Linked DNA regions of Cricetulus griseus. The main gene of each other region encodes a partner of the protein of the gene in region 4 in a complex. Links are inferred from orthologs where the notes say so. Each region holds a gene or a part of one and is shown on either strand. Other genes may lie near its edges. The genes, in order: Ndufaf1, Ecsit, Tmem186, Tmem126b and Acad9.

What was found.
Region 1: Tmem126b (region 4) and Ndufaf1 share a complex: the UniProt entries of both Homo sapiens proteins name them as parts of the mitochondrial complex. The link is inferred for Cricetulus griseus from reciprocal best matches to the Homo sapiens genes TMEM126B and NDUFAF1.
Region 2: Tmem126b (region 4) and Ecsit share a complex: the UniProt entries of both Homo sapiens proteins name them as parts of the mitochondrial complex. The link is inferred for Cricetulus griseus from reciprocal best matches to the Homo sapiens genes TMEM126B and ECSIT.
Region 3: Tmem126b (region 4) and Tmem186 share a complex: the UniProt entries of both Homo sapiens proteins name them as parts of the mitochondrial complex. The link is inferred for Cricetulus griseus from reciprocal best matches to the Homo sapiens genes TMEM126B and TMEM186.
Region 5: Tmem126b (region 4) and Acad9 share a complex: the UniProt entries of both Homo sapiens proteins name them as parts of the mitochondrial complex. The link is inferred for Cricetulus griseus from reciprocal best matches to the Homo sapiens genes TMEM126B and ACAD9.

Annotation. Positions count from the first base shown.
Region 1 is NC_048599.1:58,829,669-58,832,077, reverse strand, and holds part of Ndufaf1 (complex I intermediate-associated protein 30, mitochondrial), read right to left. Parts: intron 1,365-2,409; coding exon 1,179-1,364; intron 1-1,178. UniProt on the Homo sapiens protein: As part of the MCIA complex, involved in the assembly of the mitochondrial complex I.
Region 2 is NC_048597.1:134,979,043-134,983,220, forward strand, and holds the start of Ecsit (evolutionarily conserved signaling intermediate in Toll pathway, mitochondrial), read right to left. Parts: upstream 2,816-4,178; 5' UTR 2,693-2,815; exon of another isoform or gene 2,685-2,692; intron 1,189-2,684; exon of another isoform or gene 1,074-1,188; intron 1-1,073.
Region 3 is NC_048600.1:38,136,628-38,140,815, reverse strand, and holds the start of Tmem186 (transmembrane protein 186), read right to left. Parts: upstream 2,801-4,188; 5' UTR 2,713-2,800; coding exon 2,650-2,712; intron 1,553-2,649; coding exon 905-1,552; 3' UTR 1-904. Other genes in the region: Pmm2 (phosphomannomutase 2), read left to right, coding at 2,925-2,978. UniProt on the Homo sapiens protein: As part of the MCIA complex, required for efficient assembly of the mitochondrial complex I.
Region 4 is NC_048596.1:108,635,577-108,637,854, forward strand, and holds the end of Tmem126b (complex I assembly factor TMEM126B, mitochondrial), read left to right. Parts: intron 1-353; coding exon 354-465; intron 466-1,450; coding exon 1,451-1,628; 3' UTR 1,629-1,777; downstream 1,778-2,278. UniProt on the Homo sapiens protein: As part of the MCIA complex, involved in the assembly of the mitochondrial complex I. Participates in constructing the membrane arm of complex I.
Region 5 is NW_023276806.1:113,480,755-113,484,275, reverse strand, and holds part of Acad9 (complex I assembly factor ACAD9, mitochondrial), read left to right. Parts: intron 1-2,652; coding exon 2,653-2,781; intron 2,782-3,521. UniProt on the Homo sapiens protein: As part of the MCIA complex, primarily participates in the assembly of the mitochondrial complex I and therefore plays a role in oxidative phosphorylation.

The DNA.
Region 1 (2,409 bases), on a different chromosome or scaffold from region 4:
CTGCCTCCCGAGTGCTGGAATTAAAGGCGTGCGCCACCAACACCCGGCTAGTGCTGACTAGTTTTATGGCAACTTGACACAAGTCATCCAAGAGGAGGGAAGTTCAATGGAGAAAATGCCTCTATAAGATCAGGCTGTAGGGAAGCCTGTGGAGCATTCTCTTATTAGCGATTGGTGGGGGAGGGCACAGCCCATGGTGGGCAGTACAATCCCTGGGCTGGTGGTCCTGCATTCTATAAGAAATCAGGCTGGGAAAGCCACGAGGAGCAAGCCAATAAGCAGCACTCCTCCATGGCCTCTGCATCTGCTCCTACCTCCAAGTACCAGACCTGATTGAGTTCCTGTCCTCACTGCCTTTGATAACGAACTGGTGTATGGAACTGTGAGTGAAATAAACCCTTTCCTTCCCAGCTTGCTTTTGGTTATGGTATTTCATCACAATAATAACCTAAATTACGATACATACACACATAAATTTGTTTATTTAGAGTTAGCATCTCTCTATGCAGTCCTGGCTGTACTGGAACTAACTACGTAGACCAGGCTGGCCTCAAATTCACAGAAAGCACTTGCCTCTACCTCTAAAATGTTGGGATTAAAGGTGTGTACCATCACCACCCAGCCTGGCTCATTTTTATTAATGGAAAAACAAAACATTTGTCCTTTAAATCTCTCTCCAAGGACTGGCTGGAGAGATGGCTCAGAGGTTAAGAGCACTGACTGTTTTTCCAGAGGTTCTGAGTTCAATTCCTAGCAACCACATGATGGGCTCACAACCATCTATAATGAGATCTGGTGCCCTCTTCTGGCCCACAGGAATATATGCAGGCAGAATAAGTCCTTAAAAAAAAAATTTCCCCTTACTTCTGCCTCTATTTTATGTAAGAATGATTAGTATGGGTTGGAGAGATGGCTCAGTGGTTGAAAGCACTGGCTGGTCTTCCAGAGGACCCAGGTTCAATTCCCAGCACCCACATGGCAAGCCTGTCTGTAACTCCAGTTCCAGGGGATACAATACTGACACACAAACATTCATGTAGATGAACTACCAATACTCGTAAAATAAAAATAGATAAAAAATGTTAAAAAAGAATGATTAGTATGAAAAAGGAAACTACAATGTAACCATAGTTTCAATGAACCCCATTTTCCCAAACAGTGAAGAACTGAAATTTTACCTTGACTTCCTGCCAGTAGGGCCCCCCACGGGTGAACATGAAGTAACTGTACATCTGATTTTTCCTCTGGATAAAGTCTGTATCTTGCCTGATATTCACCATCCAAGGCCGGCCATCCCCACGGACTCGGAGATACAGAGAATTGAACAGGGACCAATCATAATACTGCTTCCTCTCAAAAGAACGCTAGGGTACAGAAAAGTTAGTTTGCATGGTTATCACCAAGTTACCACCGAGTATGCTGTATTGTTATGGGGAGAGGGGCACATATGACATCAGAGGACAACTTTTGTTGGTCTTTCATTTCTCCATGTGGGTTCCAGAGATTAAACTTGGGTCTTCAGGCTTACCAGCAAGTGCCTTAGCTACTGAGCCATCTTCCAGACCCACTAGGGCATTCCATGTATATATTTTTTTCTTTTTCTTTTTCTTTTTTTTTTTTTGGGGGGGTTTTTTGAGACAGGGTTTCTCTGTGGCTTTGGAGCTTATCCTGGCACTTGCTCTGTAGACCAGGCTGGCCTTGAACTCACAGAGACCCGCCTGTCTCTGCCTCCCGAGTACTGGGATTAAAGGTATATTTTTATATACCTGGCTCCATGTATATTTTCTACCACGAAGAGACAAATAAACCAGTATTTTAGTATAGAATACTGACATGTTTCTAAGGTAATTGTTGAAGGCATGATTAAGCTAGGACAATGCTTCCATATGACATCCATTTGTGTTTGCTGAATGGAAATTAATGTAATTTTCCTCCCTAGTTCTAAGACACAATGGCTTCTGAGTGGCCCATTTAATGACAACTACCTTACCCATCAAAAATCAAGCTCAGGTTTTAAAAATCAAGAGGCTGGGAAGATGTCTCAGTGCTTGCTGCAAAAGTATAAGGACCTGAGTTCAGATCCCCAGCACCCACATTCAAAACTAGGTATCCTGCAGTATCCACCTGTAACTCCTCACTCACAGAGACAGGAAGACAGGAAGACCTGGGGGTTCACTGGTCAGCCAGTCTAGACAAAACTGTGAGCTCCAGGTTCAGGGGGAGGACCTTGTCTCCAAAAGCAAGGCAGGCAGTGATACAGGAAGACATCCCAACGTTACCTTCTGGCCTCCACATGCTCACACACTCTCGTCCCTCCCTCCCCCCTCATACACACACAATAATAGCGAACACCCATTCAAACAATTTACATGCCTGATTTCCTTTAATCCTCCTCACAGCCCTGAGATA
Region 2 (4,178 bases), on a different chromosome or scaffold from region 4:
TTTGTCTAGTTGAGCCAGGCATGGTAATGTACTTTTATTCCTAGTATTCAGGAGGAAGAGGCAGGCAGATCTTAGTAAGTTCCAGGCGAGCTAGGGCTGCATAGTGAGAACCCCAGTGAGCTGCTGGGGGCATGGTTCAGTGGTAGAGCCCTTGCCTAGACTGCCCCAGTGAGGGGCTGATGGTAGAATACTTGCTTGGCATATAGTTAGATAAGAAGAATCTAAACCTTTGCTTTGCAGATTGTGTTCTAGGACCTGTAAAATGTTGACTCTTAACTCAGATATCCTGTGTGGGAATATGCACTGTGACAGCCATAGGTGGCTCTTACATGTTTAATCAGAGCAGTGAATACTCTCAGTGAGTGCTCATGGTTCCCTCATGTTTTCACCCCATACCTAAACATAATTTTGGTACAAACCAGCCATCTCAAACTCCAGTCATGGGATACCAACAGACATACCTTTGATCTGGAGGTTAGCCAGGGTTACCACCCTTCCTCACTATTCAAGCCATAAAGCAGGAGTCATTTAGAGTCCACCATGTCCTTATTCAGTCTGTCCAACAGTCCTGGAGACTACTTCCCAATCTGTCCCCTTTGCTGTAGGTCACAGCACCAGGACCGGCTTTGCTTTCCTGCATAGGTGTCCACTCTCTCCTGTCCAGTAGTTACTTCCCTCCATTGGAAAAGAAAGCTCTAACAATGCAAACTAAGGGGCTGGAGAGATGCCTTTATTGGTAAAATGCTTGCCCTGAAAGTCCAAGGACCTGGGTTTGATCCCCAGCACCCACATAAAAAGCCAGGTGAGGTGACATGCACTTGTAATCCCAGCACTGGGGAAGCAGAAATGGGCAGGTCCCTGAGCTCGATGGCCTGCCAGCCTGCCTAATCAGTGAGCCACAGGTCCCAGTGAAAAGACCCTGTCTCAAAGCACAAAGTGGACTGCTCCTGAGGAACAACATCCAAGTTTGACATTTGTCCTCCTATACACATGTGCATATGTGTACATGCACTAACATACATCCACATACCCACACATGAACACATAAAAATGCTGGGTGTGATGGCACATACCTGTAATCCCAGCACTCAGGAGACACAGGCAGACAGATGTCTGAGTTTGAGGTGAGCCTGATCTACATAGACACAGCAAGTTCCAGACCAACCAGGGTACATAGTAGGACTCTACCTCAAAAAGGAAAAAAACAAAAAAACAAAAAAACAAGACTTGAGACAAGTGTTGTGGCTGTAAAGCCAGCAGTGTGGAGTCTGAGGCAGGAGGAATTGCATCCAGTATCAGACCAGCTGGTAGTAATTAGTGAGCTCATGACAGTGTTGAGTTACCATAAAGTCCCGTCTAAACTGTAAATAAATAAGAGCCAGGACAGAAGATTCAACTGAGAAAGGTACTTGCTGCTGCAACAATGCAAGCCTAATGACCTGAGTTCAATCCCAGGAACCAGCATAAGGTGTATGGATAAAACTCCCTGGCTCTCCTCTGACCTCCACCATGCAACATGGCACACATGTGTGTCCCACCCCACCCCAATAACTAAAAAACTTCAAAGTAAGTAAATATCAGAAAGGGTGGGTAGGGAGGCTGGAGAGATGGCTCAGTGGTTAAGAGCACTGACTGCTCTTCCAAAGGACCAGCACCCACATGGCAGCTAACAACTGTCTGTAACTCCAGTTCCAAGGAATCCAACACCCTTATACAGGCAAACCAATGTACATGAAATAAAAATAAGTTAATTAAATAAATAAATCGACCTCATATGGAGTCTACCTGCTGAACTGCCCCTATCCTTGTAGCTCCAGCCACACTGTTTCTGAAACAAGACAAGTTTATTGGTCTCACAGGCTTTGAACTTGTTTTACCCTCTGCCTACTGCTTATCATCTTGGTGCGTGCCTGTAATCCAGCACTCAGAAGGCTGGAGCAGGAAGATCGAGGCCAAGCCAGGCGGTGGTGGAACGCGCCTTTAATCCCAGCACTCGGGAGGCAGAGGCAGGCAGATAGATCTCTGTGAGTTTGAAAACAGCCTGGTCTACAAGAGCTAGTTCCAGGACAGCCTCCAAAGCCACAGAGAAACCCTGTCTCTAACACCCGCCCCACCCCGCGCCCCCCCCCAAAAAAAGAGTTCGAGGCCAGCTTGGGATACATAAAGACTCTTGTTTCATGGAACACACTGCAACAATCATTATTTGAAGTCACGAAATGATCTGCTCCGTTTGCGATCTGCTCAGCAATTGCCTCTCTTAGATAATATATTTTTTAATCTGTTTTTCTCATTTATATGCCTCCACCAGCAGGGACAGTGCCCTAGTACATGGTAAGTGCCCAACACCGACCATCTGAGTACGGATAAGCAGATGAATCCTTACAGCGAGGTGGCGTGTATGTACGTGTGTGCGTGGGCTGCCGCGCTCCCAGGTCTCCAAAGCCTGCCTCACCGCACAAGGGCTGCGTGGCCTCCCTGAGCTGCTCCAGCACCCGCGAAACCGGACATTTAAGCACACGGTGCCGAGCAGCCTTTCCTCGCCCGTCCCCAAGCACGAGCCCCAAAGGTCACGGGGCCCTCACCCTGCGGCCGAGGTGAAGGCTGTCCTCTCCGGCTCTACCAGGCCTGGAGGTGGACGCCCTTGAACCCCAGACTGTCCCATCGCCCTCCCACGCGCGACCCACCTACTCACGCGGCCGACGGCGGTACACAGCCGGCTAGGTGCCACCGCTGGCAGCCCTCATGTTCTGTCACAGAGCTTCCGGTTACCGGCCGAAGGCGACAGCAAATCGGAAAAGCCAGAGACGATAGGTCCCGCCCTCAAGGAGACGCTCACCAATAGGAAGGAGGGAGAGCACTGATCCCTGCCCCTCACCCAACTGCGGGAGCCTGGGGCCTTGGGTTCCTGCCGCGGCGGCGCCGAGTCCGTCCCGTCCAGTTTCCTCACCCGAAGTGTGATGGAATGTCAGTTGTTACAGACGAAATACTGTTAGGGACCTGAAGCACCACGTCCGGTTCAGTGCAGAGTGGGGATGGAACCCAGGGCTTCTTGCGTGCTGAGCAAGCACACTCCCAACCAGCCCCAAGCCCCAGGGTGTATTAATGTTACCAAACAATTGCTTTTGAGTTGTTTGAGTCAGGGTCTTGCTATGGTGCTCAGGCTATTCTCAAAACCCCGGACTCCAGAAGTCCTGAGGGTTCAACCTCCCGAGTAGCTGGAACTTCAGGTGGGCCGCGCCGCCAGCAGCTTTAACAGGGTTCCTTCCAAGTTATGTTTGTTTATTTTGTGTGCGTCTAAGTGAGCACATTCGCGTGGAGGCCAGAGGACAATTTAGGGGAAATGGTCCTTCCATCAAGTGGATACTGGGGATGAAACTTGGGTCATTATGCATGGTTGCAAGCACTTTTAGCCCCCTTTAATCTGAATCTTTGAGATTTGAATTCATCTATGTAAAATAGCCATATAAGTACAACAAGGGCTACTGTGAGAAAAGGACATGCATTCCTGGCACCCCTCTCTCCCTCCCCAACAGGGAGTCTGGGTTTACTCTTCAAACTGCCTACACTGAGGGCTGAGAGGCCTTTGGAGTGTATGTGTAGGTGATGTGATCATGCCCTGGAACTGTTGTGTGCGTGTATAGATAATATTGATTATGTATATAAACACATATATATCGAATTATTATATGTATGTCTAATGATTGAATGTGGAGTCTTGTTTTTGAAAGGGGAAAATTAATAAAAGTCTAAAACCTGGACTCCAAAGCCCAAATAGAAAATTCTGAGTTCCCAAAAGGCAGCCCAGCAGACAAGGTTAAACAAAGGTCCACAGGACCAGATATCACACTCTTGAGCAGTGTCGACATTCCTCTGGTCCAAAGAGGATCAGATAGTTATCAATTGTAGAAGTCCCCAGCCCAGGAGATAATTAACAAACTCATTTCCTCTGCAGCATCCTGCTTAATTGCACCTTGCCTGAAGCACATACCATTGTCCTGTCCTGTGTAACCACGGAAGTTTTGAAATCTTCGGGCTTCCAGCCCTACAATTTTGCCTTATAAAAACAGCCCTCAGTCGAAAATTGGTACTCCATTTGTAATCTAATGTCCAGGCATAGTGGCACACGCCTTTAGTCCCAGCACTTGGGAAGCAGAAGCAGGCAGATCTCTGTGAGCTCA
Region 3 (4,188 bases), on a different chromosome or scaffold from region 4:
AGGCACAATTCACCTAATAAGCATGTGTGTTACCCATTATGAAAAGCAGCATACACAGTCTCCTTCAGCTGATAAGTTGCTTGGTGTCCCTCTGTCCTGATGACACTGCAAAGCTCCCCAGTTTAAGCGGCCCTGGATCTCCTGGTGGTCAGCATTCTCAGCCGGGTGCTGTCCCTACCTCAGTTGGAGTGGGCTTCAGTGCTGGCCATCTAGCTGGTGAGCACAAGGGGTGCAGGGCAGGCTAGAAGCCTTTATCGATGCTGTAAGCCTGTAATTCCACAGTCTGTGTTCCTCTGCCAACCCTCCTGCCTCTGGTTTCATAGCAGTGGGCTGCCTCTGTGACCTTGGCATAGCATTCCTCCAAGAAGTGCCTCTTCATAAAAACTTCTAGTCACTATCTGTTGGAATGTCCTATTCAGTACAATGTTCCACTAAGGGCTTTTTCCTAAAGTTGGTTAATATCTTCTTTTTTGCCCCAACACAACTTTGAACTTCTCCACCTGCCTCCATCTACATGGAGAAGTACAAACACGCACAACCATGCCTGGTTATATGCAGTTCTAGGGATTCAACCCAGGGTTTCCCTTCCTGCATGCTAGACAAGCAGTCTACCAATTGAGCTTCAGCCCCAGGCCCTGGTTATTAGCTTCTGCCTCATTAATGTTTTTGGCCTTCCTGTCTAAAATCCAAGTGTAACCAGGGCTACCAAAGGCCTAGTTGGTTTTTTTTGTTTGTTTGTTTGTTTGTTTGTTTTTTGGTTTTTCGAGACAGGGTTTCTCTGTGTAGCTTTGGAGACTATCCTGGCACTCGATCTGGAGACTAAGCTGGTCTCGAACTCACAGAGATCCACCTGCCTCTGCCTCCCGAGTGCTGGGATTAAAGGCATGCGCCACCAATGCCCAGCTTAGTTGTTTTTCTTAAGTGTGGTTGGGTTTCCAAACACTTGTGAGAAACGTTCTCTGTCCAGGATTCGGCCATAGCGCAGGGTGACATAGAAGGTCTTCTTGCTACCATATTGCTGGATTCGTACCAACAGATCCTGGGCATGTTCCTTGGATTCTGACAGGGGTATTATGTCTGACACAGCACAATACGTATCTTGTCGCCACCCAAAGAAGGACAGGTGGGCCACTCGAAGCACAGTACCTGACTCATTCACATACATGAAGCCCACCAGCCTCTGGAAGAAGTAGCTCATCCAACACAGCATGGCCAGGGTGAAGCAAGAGACTCCACTCATAAGGTAGAGTGACTTGACACTCAGGAGGCCCTGTGAGTACCAGTACAAGCCTGGGGGTAGGGCTGTCACAGTCAGAAATGTCTGGGCCAACTTCAGTCGAGATAGAAACCCAAATCTTTTGATGGCTCTGAATCGGTAGATTGTATGGAATTTCTCCGTCTCTGTGCCTGGTGGCTTCTCCTGCAAGGTGGGAGCCTTGCTAGCCACCCACCTGTTGGAATCCCCCTGCCCAGTGCAGCACCACAGCCGATGAAGAGGTCTCCCCCATGTGGCTGGCCCCTGAAATCTTGGCACAGCTCGAAGGAAGACAGACTGGAAAAGAGAGTTTCTTTCAGAATTCAACCATAATAATCACACAAGGAACAAGGCAAAGCTTCCTCCAGAAAGGCTCCAACCAACCCTAGAAAGCCATTGGGGCTTCACTTTTTGTGGAATTCTGCTCTGGATAAGTGCATACTCCTGTTTTTACAAGTAAACAAACAAACAAAGAAACCCTAATCCCAGCCAGTGAGATATCCCATAAGTAAAGGTGCTTGCCACCAAGCCAGATGACTTGAATTGCACTTCTGGAGCCAACACAGTATCGGAAGAAAAATTACTCATGCAGGGATGTCCTTGAGCCTCCACATGCCACGGCACAAGCATATGCACATTGAACACACCAGGATTTTTTTTTTTTAAATTAAAAACTAAGTCCCCTCCCCCGCAAGGGCACGGAAACTCAACAGAATGAATGGGGCCAGGTCTCTCAGGCCGGTCCTTTCCCTTAGGCAGGTCCAAGTAAACACAGGAAAGGTTTACTTTCAGACATTCAGTAAAGACCTACTGACGAGCCAGCAGTGGACTCGAACTTAGGTCCACAAGTCTGTGGGACACTTCCTCAAGGAGTAAACCAATCGGTGTCACAGTGGGAAACCCAAGCATCAAAACTTTGGGGTACTTATCACAGTACCTTTGCATTTCTCCCGACTTCTTTATACGGTAGAACTACTATCTATTAGCCTGGTTGGGAAAGGGGGAACAGCGGAGAAATGCGACACGGAGGCCTTCAAAACACTGCACAACATTTTTCTGGATGAGTAGCAAGTGAGCAAATTCTGAGCTTCAGAGTCAGAGGCGGGCTCTCACGGACACTAGCTGTGCATCCTTGTGCACCTTTCCAAAGAAAGCCTCAGAATATGCTGAGCGAGACATGGTAATCTTAGGCCCTGGACTTGATGCGCGCCCGAGGAGTCGTAGCGACTCTGACCGCCCACGTGACCCAAGGGGAACGGAGGAGGCTGGGAAATAACAGATCATAATACACTTCCCGAATCGGCGGCCCAGGCATCCTTCCTGCCAGTCCTAGGCTCGACCAGGGTCCCCTAACTGCGTACCCTCTTTCACCGCCCACTACCGGCCCTCCGTACCATGATACGGTCTCCTGCTGTGAAAAGTAAACCGACTTGTCCCCGGAAACTCGAAGAGCGCATGAGCGGAAAGTTAAAAAAAAATCCGCATGCGCAAACCAAAAACAAAGTGTTAGATCTCGGGGATTGTAGTTTAAATCTTGTGTCTATGTGAGTGTTCGGTGAGTCACTAGGGAATCATCGTTTTCCCGTCGTGCCTTGGGCTACGGGGCTCGGAATGAACCCGGAAGTTCCGGGTGGAGTTCCGGGTGCCAACAAATCTTCCGAGTGGAATCATGGCCGCGCTCTGTCTCTTCGACGTGGATGGGACCCTGACTGCCCCGCGGCAGGTAGGCGGCGCCCGGGAGGCTCGCGGCTGTGGAGCGGAGCCCGTGCAGAACCCAGACCGCGGTGACCACCGCCCGGGGACCAGGAGACGTGGGTCCTGAGCGGGGTGCGCAGGAAGACGGGGCAAAAAACGACCTCTTCCGAACAGGAAAGAGTTCGGAGTCTTAAAGTTCGGGTCTGAATTTCTTTGGGGGTCCTGGGGACTGGTGGCCCGGATTGTAACTCCAGTTTAGCCCCCCCGACCTGCTGTACCACTTTCCCAGCCCTGTCACCTTTGGCTGTGTCGTCTAGTATATCAAAGGCAGGTTTTCAGATGTCTGACCTTGAGCAAATCACTTCCTCGGAGTCCCCAGTCCACTTTAAACGGGTGTATTGCCTGTTGCATGGGGTGTGTGTGAGGATAACAGAAATTCGTGACAGTGCCGCGCCCACATCAAGCCTCAAAGAGGAGACGCTTGCACCACCCCAACCCCTTCTCTACCACAATCAGCCTTTCTGAGCCACAGTTTGAATTATCTAGTGATGGCATTCAACCACAAGTTCTCCAGAACCCTTACTCAGCTTCATTGCTCAATGCACACTTATGAGTTAAGTCGATAGTAAGGTGGGCAGGTGGCATAGGGTTTAATCCCTGCAGGAGGATTTGAGGGTTCAGAGCCTGGGCCATATAGTGAGTTTGAGGCAAACCTGGGGAACTTGCCTCAAAACAAGAGCCAATAGTAGTCTAGAGCTGGAAGCGGAAATCATATATTGTAAAGGGCTTTTGTCTTTGTAGAACATATGACCTGTAGTAACTACTCAACTTTAGTGCAAAAACAGCCATAGACCAAATGTAAACTGAGTAGCTATGTTCTAATAAATTTATTAAGAGGCCGCTTAGATGGCCCAGTGGGTAGAGTCATTAAACCCTAAGCCTTGGGACCTGAGTTCAATTCCTGGAACCCACATGGTAGAATGACAGAACCAACTCCCACAAGTTGTCTTCTTACCTCTCCTTGTACATTGTGGCACATGTACATGCGTATACATACATAATAAAAATAAAATTATTATAGAAACAAACTTGTTCAGTTGGCCCAGGAGACATAGTGGCCAGGAGTCTACATTTCTAAGCCTTTGTACAGTGTTGAACTTGCAGTTTTGCTAAGATTAAAGGTGCATGCCCCCACCACCCAGCTTCTACCATTCAAATGTAAGGAAACCGAAACCAGT
Region 4 (2,278 bases):
GGTCTGTTTATATTCTTGGTACCTAACATATACCTGACACATAGTAAACAATATGTGTATCTATTCACCTAGAATCCAGGTATCAGATGTGATAGTATTCTTACTGTGATATTACTTCTGTAAAAATCAACATAAATGATAATTCTCCATATTTTAAAGTATAACAAGTATAGTTTTAAAACAAGATGCATTTAAGCCTGTTAAGTGCCAGACTTCGAATTGCTAAAGTCCTTTCTGCTGTTTAATTTTGGTTGCAAACAGCAAAATAACTGTGTTTTGAAAGACAGCTGCTTCGTTATATTAATTGTTATCTTAAATCTTAAAAGGAAACAAATTGTTCTGTTACTTTCTAGGTAACTTAAGCAAGGAAAACTGTATTATGAGAAGTGTACTGATTGGTGTGGGATGTGGTATTTTATATCCCAGTGCTCTGGCTTTTCGTAAAAATGGACATTTGGCAGTTAAGTAAGTCTATCCATTCCTTCTCTTTTTCCTTCATTCTTATACCCTCCCCCACCACCACCATGTGGTGTGTATGTCTGTGTCTGTGTTGAACATTTAACCAGAAGTCAACTCCAGGTGGTATTTCTCAAAAGCTGTCTACCTGATTTTACGTTTTTGAGACAGGATCTCACTGTGCAGCCATGAATAGCCTGGAATTATGTATACCAAGAAGGCCTTGAAGTCAGAAATCTGCCTTCCTTCGAAGGTGCTGGGATTGAACACATGCCACCATGTCTATTCACCTTACATTTTTGAGACAGGGTCTCTCATTGCTCTACAGCAGTGGTTCTCAACCTGTGGATAGCAACCCTTTTGGGGGTCAAACAACCCTTTCACAATTGTTGCCTAAGATCATAGGAAAACACAGATATTTACATTCATTATTATTCATAATGGTAACAAAATTATAATTATGAAGCAGCAATGAAAATAATTTATGGTTGGAGGTTATCACAACATGAGGAACTGTATTAAAGGGTCCCCACATTAGGAAAGTTGACAACCACTGAGCTAGAGCTTGCCATTAGGCTGATTATACAATGAATCCCAGGGACCCTTCTGCCTCTGCCTCTGCCTCCCCAGCACTGGGTTATAAGCACATCACCATGTTCAGTTATTTTTTTCCATTAACCTGGATTCTGAGTATCAAACTTTGGTCCTCATGGTTACATGGCAAGCATTTTACTGACTGAGTTATCCAGCCCTTCTCTTACATTCATTCAGTCCTTCCTTCCTTCTATTGGGGGTGGGGGAGGATGCTAATAAACTATTCTTTTTAGCTACAGGCTAAACAAAACAAAATAGCCTGCTAACATGTAATTTTGTTACCTGTATGGTAGACCTATAAACTAGACCTATAAACTAGAAATGACTAGTTTAGGAGAAATCAGACGCTTTCAGTGGTGTATCAGTCCAGGAGACATGGTTTACTCTTTTTCATTTTCAGGTATCATTCCGTTCCACTGCCACCAAAAGGAAGAGTTATACTCCATTGGTTAATCCTTAGTCAAACTGGGATGAAATTAATGTCTGCTCCTCTAGTATTTCAGGCAGTCTTTGGAGTGATTCATGGCTCTCACCACCATGCTTTATGTGAAAAACTACTTGGAAAAAAGTGTGCCTGAAAATTAACCATAGAATCAGTGGAGGCCAATTCGGCAGAATGGACTTTTTTAAAAGGACTCGGGCACTGGTCAAAGAGTAAAAAGTAACTCTGCTCCTTTTGCCTAGTATTTATCAGATACTCAGTAAATATAAATGTCAAACAAGTGCACATTTCATCCTTCTTTCTTTGTTGTGTATAGAATTGGGTTTGATGAGACTGGAGAGATGGCTCAGAGGTTAAAGAGCACTGGCTGCTCTTCTAGAGGTCCTGAGTTCAATTCCCAGCAACCACATGGTGGCTGACAACCATAGGTAATGAGATCTGGTGCCTTTTTCTGGCACATGCAGGCAGAACCCTGTATACATAATAAACAAATCATTAAATAAACCTTAAAGAAAAAGAAAAGAAATGGGTTTGGAGCCTCAGGTCTTACCTATGCCAAAATAGTGTGTGTACCTGGTATGCATCAGGGATTGTGCATGTAATAAGAATTGATCCCAAAGACGTCTCAGAAGAGGAATAAGAAATATGAACACATGGTATAAGATGGTTTGAGAGATACACACATAATGTGAGGGAACCAAAACAGTAACTTTACTATTTCGGCTGATGATGTTATAGGGGAAAGTAACATGAGCTAAATGTGAAGGAGGAATTGGAAGTTCATCA
Region 5 (3,521 bases), on a different chromosome or scaffold from region 4:
TTTGTTCAGCCACTTTTCTGCCAGATCCATTAACTTTGGGTCATCACTATCAGTTGGGACTATTTCCCTTGGTTTCTCGGAGTTTTCTGATATACTTACTGTAATAGCAAGAGCCTCTAAGTTGATTTTCACAACCCTCTAGCTTTGGTTTTTTTTTTAATTTTTTAAATATTTTTTTTATTTTTTGAGAATTTCATATAATCTCTTTTGATCATGTACTTCCCCCTCTTCAAATCCCTTTAAATCCTCCTTCACTTCCTACACACTCAATTTCATGTTCTTTCTCTCCTTTAAACCCCCACTTCTCCCAGAACTAACCCGGGAGCCTTGTTTGTGTTGTATACCTACTGAGCGTGGGGCTTGGGTGGAGTTGGGGTGCTATGCCAGTGATGTTCCATTAAAGAAAACTGATTTCTCTCTCCCAGCTGCAATCAGTTGCTTCTTGGCTAGGTCTTATTTGTGCCCACTTCCCTTTCTCCATGTTGGGGTTTTGTCTGGCTTGAACTTGTGCAGGTCTTGTACATGCTGCTGTAGTCCCTGTGAGTTTATATGTGTATCGGTCCTATTGTCTCTGGAAACTGTTTCCTTGAAATCATCGACTACCTCTGGCTCTTACAATCTTTCTACCGCCTCTTCCGCATTCATTCCTGAGCCTTAAGAGTAGGGCTGAGTGCTTCGAAGTCTCTCCCTCTCTTCACGTTGTCCAACAACCTTTCTTATTAACCATCAGTGAACAGGAGTAAAGGGGTAATTGTGGCTTTATTTACTAAATAGTTGACCATGGAAAGCTGTATCTGAGAGGCCAAAGAGATCAGTCATCTTGGGTGGCCTAAAACGGCAGTTTCCAAGGATATGGATGCTTAAATGTTGGTGTCAGGGAAGACCTGAGAAAAGCACAGCTTGGCCATTACATGCTAAACAGCAGAAATAAACTTTGGAGCCTGGACTCAAATCCTAGATTTGCTATTCCCTAACCATGTCACCTAGAACAAGTCACTTAATATCTCTGAGCCTCCATTATTATCTATGAAATGGAGATAGTAAAAGTACCAACATAAAATTATTGAGAAAGCTAAAGGTGCTAATAAACAGCTTAGAGTACCTAACATAACATGTCACCTATTATTGGTTAGTTAATTTTATAATATCAAGGTGTAGTCAAGATAAACAGTAAAATTCCTATTGAAAACACACACAGTAAAATATATATGTGTTTAGATAGCAATTTCTTGCTTGGGTTTTTTTGTTTTGTTTTGTTTTGAGGTTGGGGAAGTTTTCTTCTGTTTTGTTAAATATTTTCTGCGCCTTAGACCTGGGTTTCTTCTTCTATTCCTTTTATGTAAATTTGGTCTTTTCCTGGATGTTTTGTGCCTGAGTTTTTTAGATTTAACATTTTCTTTGACCATTTCTTCTATCTTCAATGCCTGATATTCTGTCCTCTGTGTCTCATACTCTTTTAGCAAGGCTGACCGCTGAGGTTTTTGTTTGACTTCCTAAATTTTCCATTTCCAGTTTTATTTCAGTTTGGGTTTTCTTTAGTGGTTCTGTTTCTACTTTCATGTCTTGAGCTGTTTTCACTATTTGATTATACTGTTTGTGTTTTCACAGATTTCATTGAGGTTTATTGGTATCCTTTTTAACATCCTTGTCTTATGCTTCAACTATGTAGAATTTCTCAGGGTCCACTGTAGTAAGGTTACTGGGTTCTGGAGGGGACACATTGTCTTGACATGTTTGCATTTTTGTTCTGGTGTCTAGGCATTTATAGTTATGATATTTAAGATAATTCTAGGTGTAGGCATCTGGTCTTGTCTTTGTTGGGTATGAGTTCTGTTTCTTAGTTTCTTTTGCCCTCTCTGGATCTCAGGAAAGGATCTCTAGGCTGTGGGTTGTCTGGTACTGAGTGCTTCTGAGTCCAGGTCCTGTGTGGCCACTGGGGGTCCCAGGTAGAAAGTGTTTGTAGAAATTGGCAGATGACTTAAAGGAATGGGCTAGAAGGTAGGGTTGAGTAAGGGTCTTTTTTTAAAGCTATGATACAAGTAACAACCCCACTTTCAGCTGGACTTGAATTCTTAAGAGAGATGCTGGAAGATGTGACAGCCTAGAGAAATGGACATTGGAGAGTCTGAAGTGGTCCTGTTTAAGCTTAGGAACAGGGGCAGCTGTGTGCTGGGTGGGATTCATTTCATTCTCATGTTTTCCTTGGACACCAACTACTGACTGGTGTCCAAGAGCTGACCCTCTTCCACATGCTAACCCTAGAGCTGAGTGTCTCTATCCATAGGATGTTCCATAGACAGTGCTCATGAGAGCAAAATGGAAGTCCGTGGGGATGGCAAGAGTAATCACACTTCCTAAAGGGAAAATCTGGGTGAATTACAAAGCATAGGAGTTGGCACAAGAGACATGACACAAGTGTTGGGGATGGAACACAGTCTGGTCACTGGTCCAAGAAGGCAAAAGGACTTGACTGTGCCTACCTGGAAAGTTCCTCCTGGAACCACTCGTCTCCAAGCTCAGGTTTTCTGCACATTCTCTGACTGCATCCTGGGCAGCAGCTCCCTGTAGCTTAGGTCTTGCTCTTACAAGACTGAAGGGAATGTCTTGTGGAACACTCCCACCAGGCTCTAACCTTGTCTGGGTCTGTGACAGGTATTTAGCTCTGAGGCTGCCTGGCAGTGTGTGAGCGAGGCTCTGCAGATCCTTGGGGGCTCCGGCTACATGAAGGACTACCCCTATGAGCGTTTTCTGCGTGATTCCCGCATCCTCCTCATCTTTGAGGTGAGTGTCCCTGCCGACTGTGCTTCCCCGTACACCACCTTAGTGATGTCCCTCTGCTCTTCCAGCCTTCCGAGCCCTGAGAGAGGCTGCTAAGTCTCCAGAAATAGCCTACAATGATACAGGGCAGGCTGTATCCTCTGGTTGGACCCTCTTAACCATACACCAGTGCTCCCACCCTCCCTTGCTTTGTAGAGGGGAATTTAGACTGGGAGAGCCCGAACAGCCCCCTCAGGTCACACTCCTGAAAGCCCTTTCTACTGGGCCCATAACTTCCCAGTTGTAGTTTTGCCAAGTTACTTCTGGCTGGGCAGGATTGGATAAATCTGTAGGAGAGTAGGGGTTCCAGTCCCAGATCCCACTCTGCTTCCATTCTGTACTCCCTAGGCTATGATTTCACTCTCAGTAAATTGAAGTTAAGCTGACTCCTGTGAGCTCCAATGGAAGGTCTCCTTGGTCTTTTGGTCCCAGTCAACATCTCTGCCTTTTCAGTCAGCCACAGCCTAATAGCAGAAGGCTGGGCTGCCCAAAGAGCCAGGCATGTCTGAATTTTGTCTTGGGGTTGCCTCTCTATTGGCCCTTCCTATAGGGAGAGGCCTGGATTTCTCAAAGATCCTGGCTAGGTAGTATAGTCCAGCAGGGTTTGCTCTTGAGGCCATAATTCATAGAAGGGTGGGGAAATTTTGATGTGAGGCAGACTTTGTTCAGAGCTAAGGGCAATACCACAAGAGTCTCCATGCCCA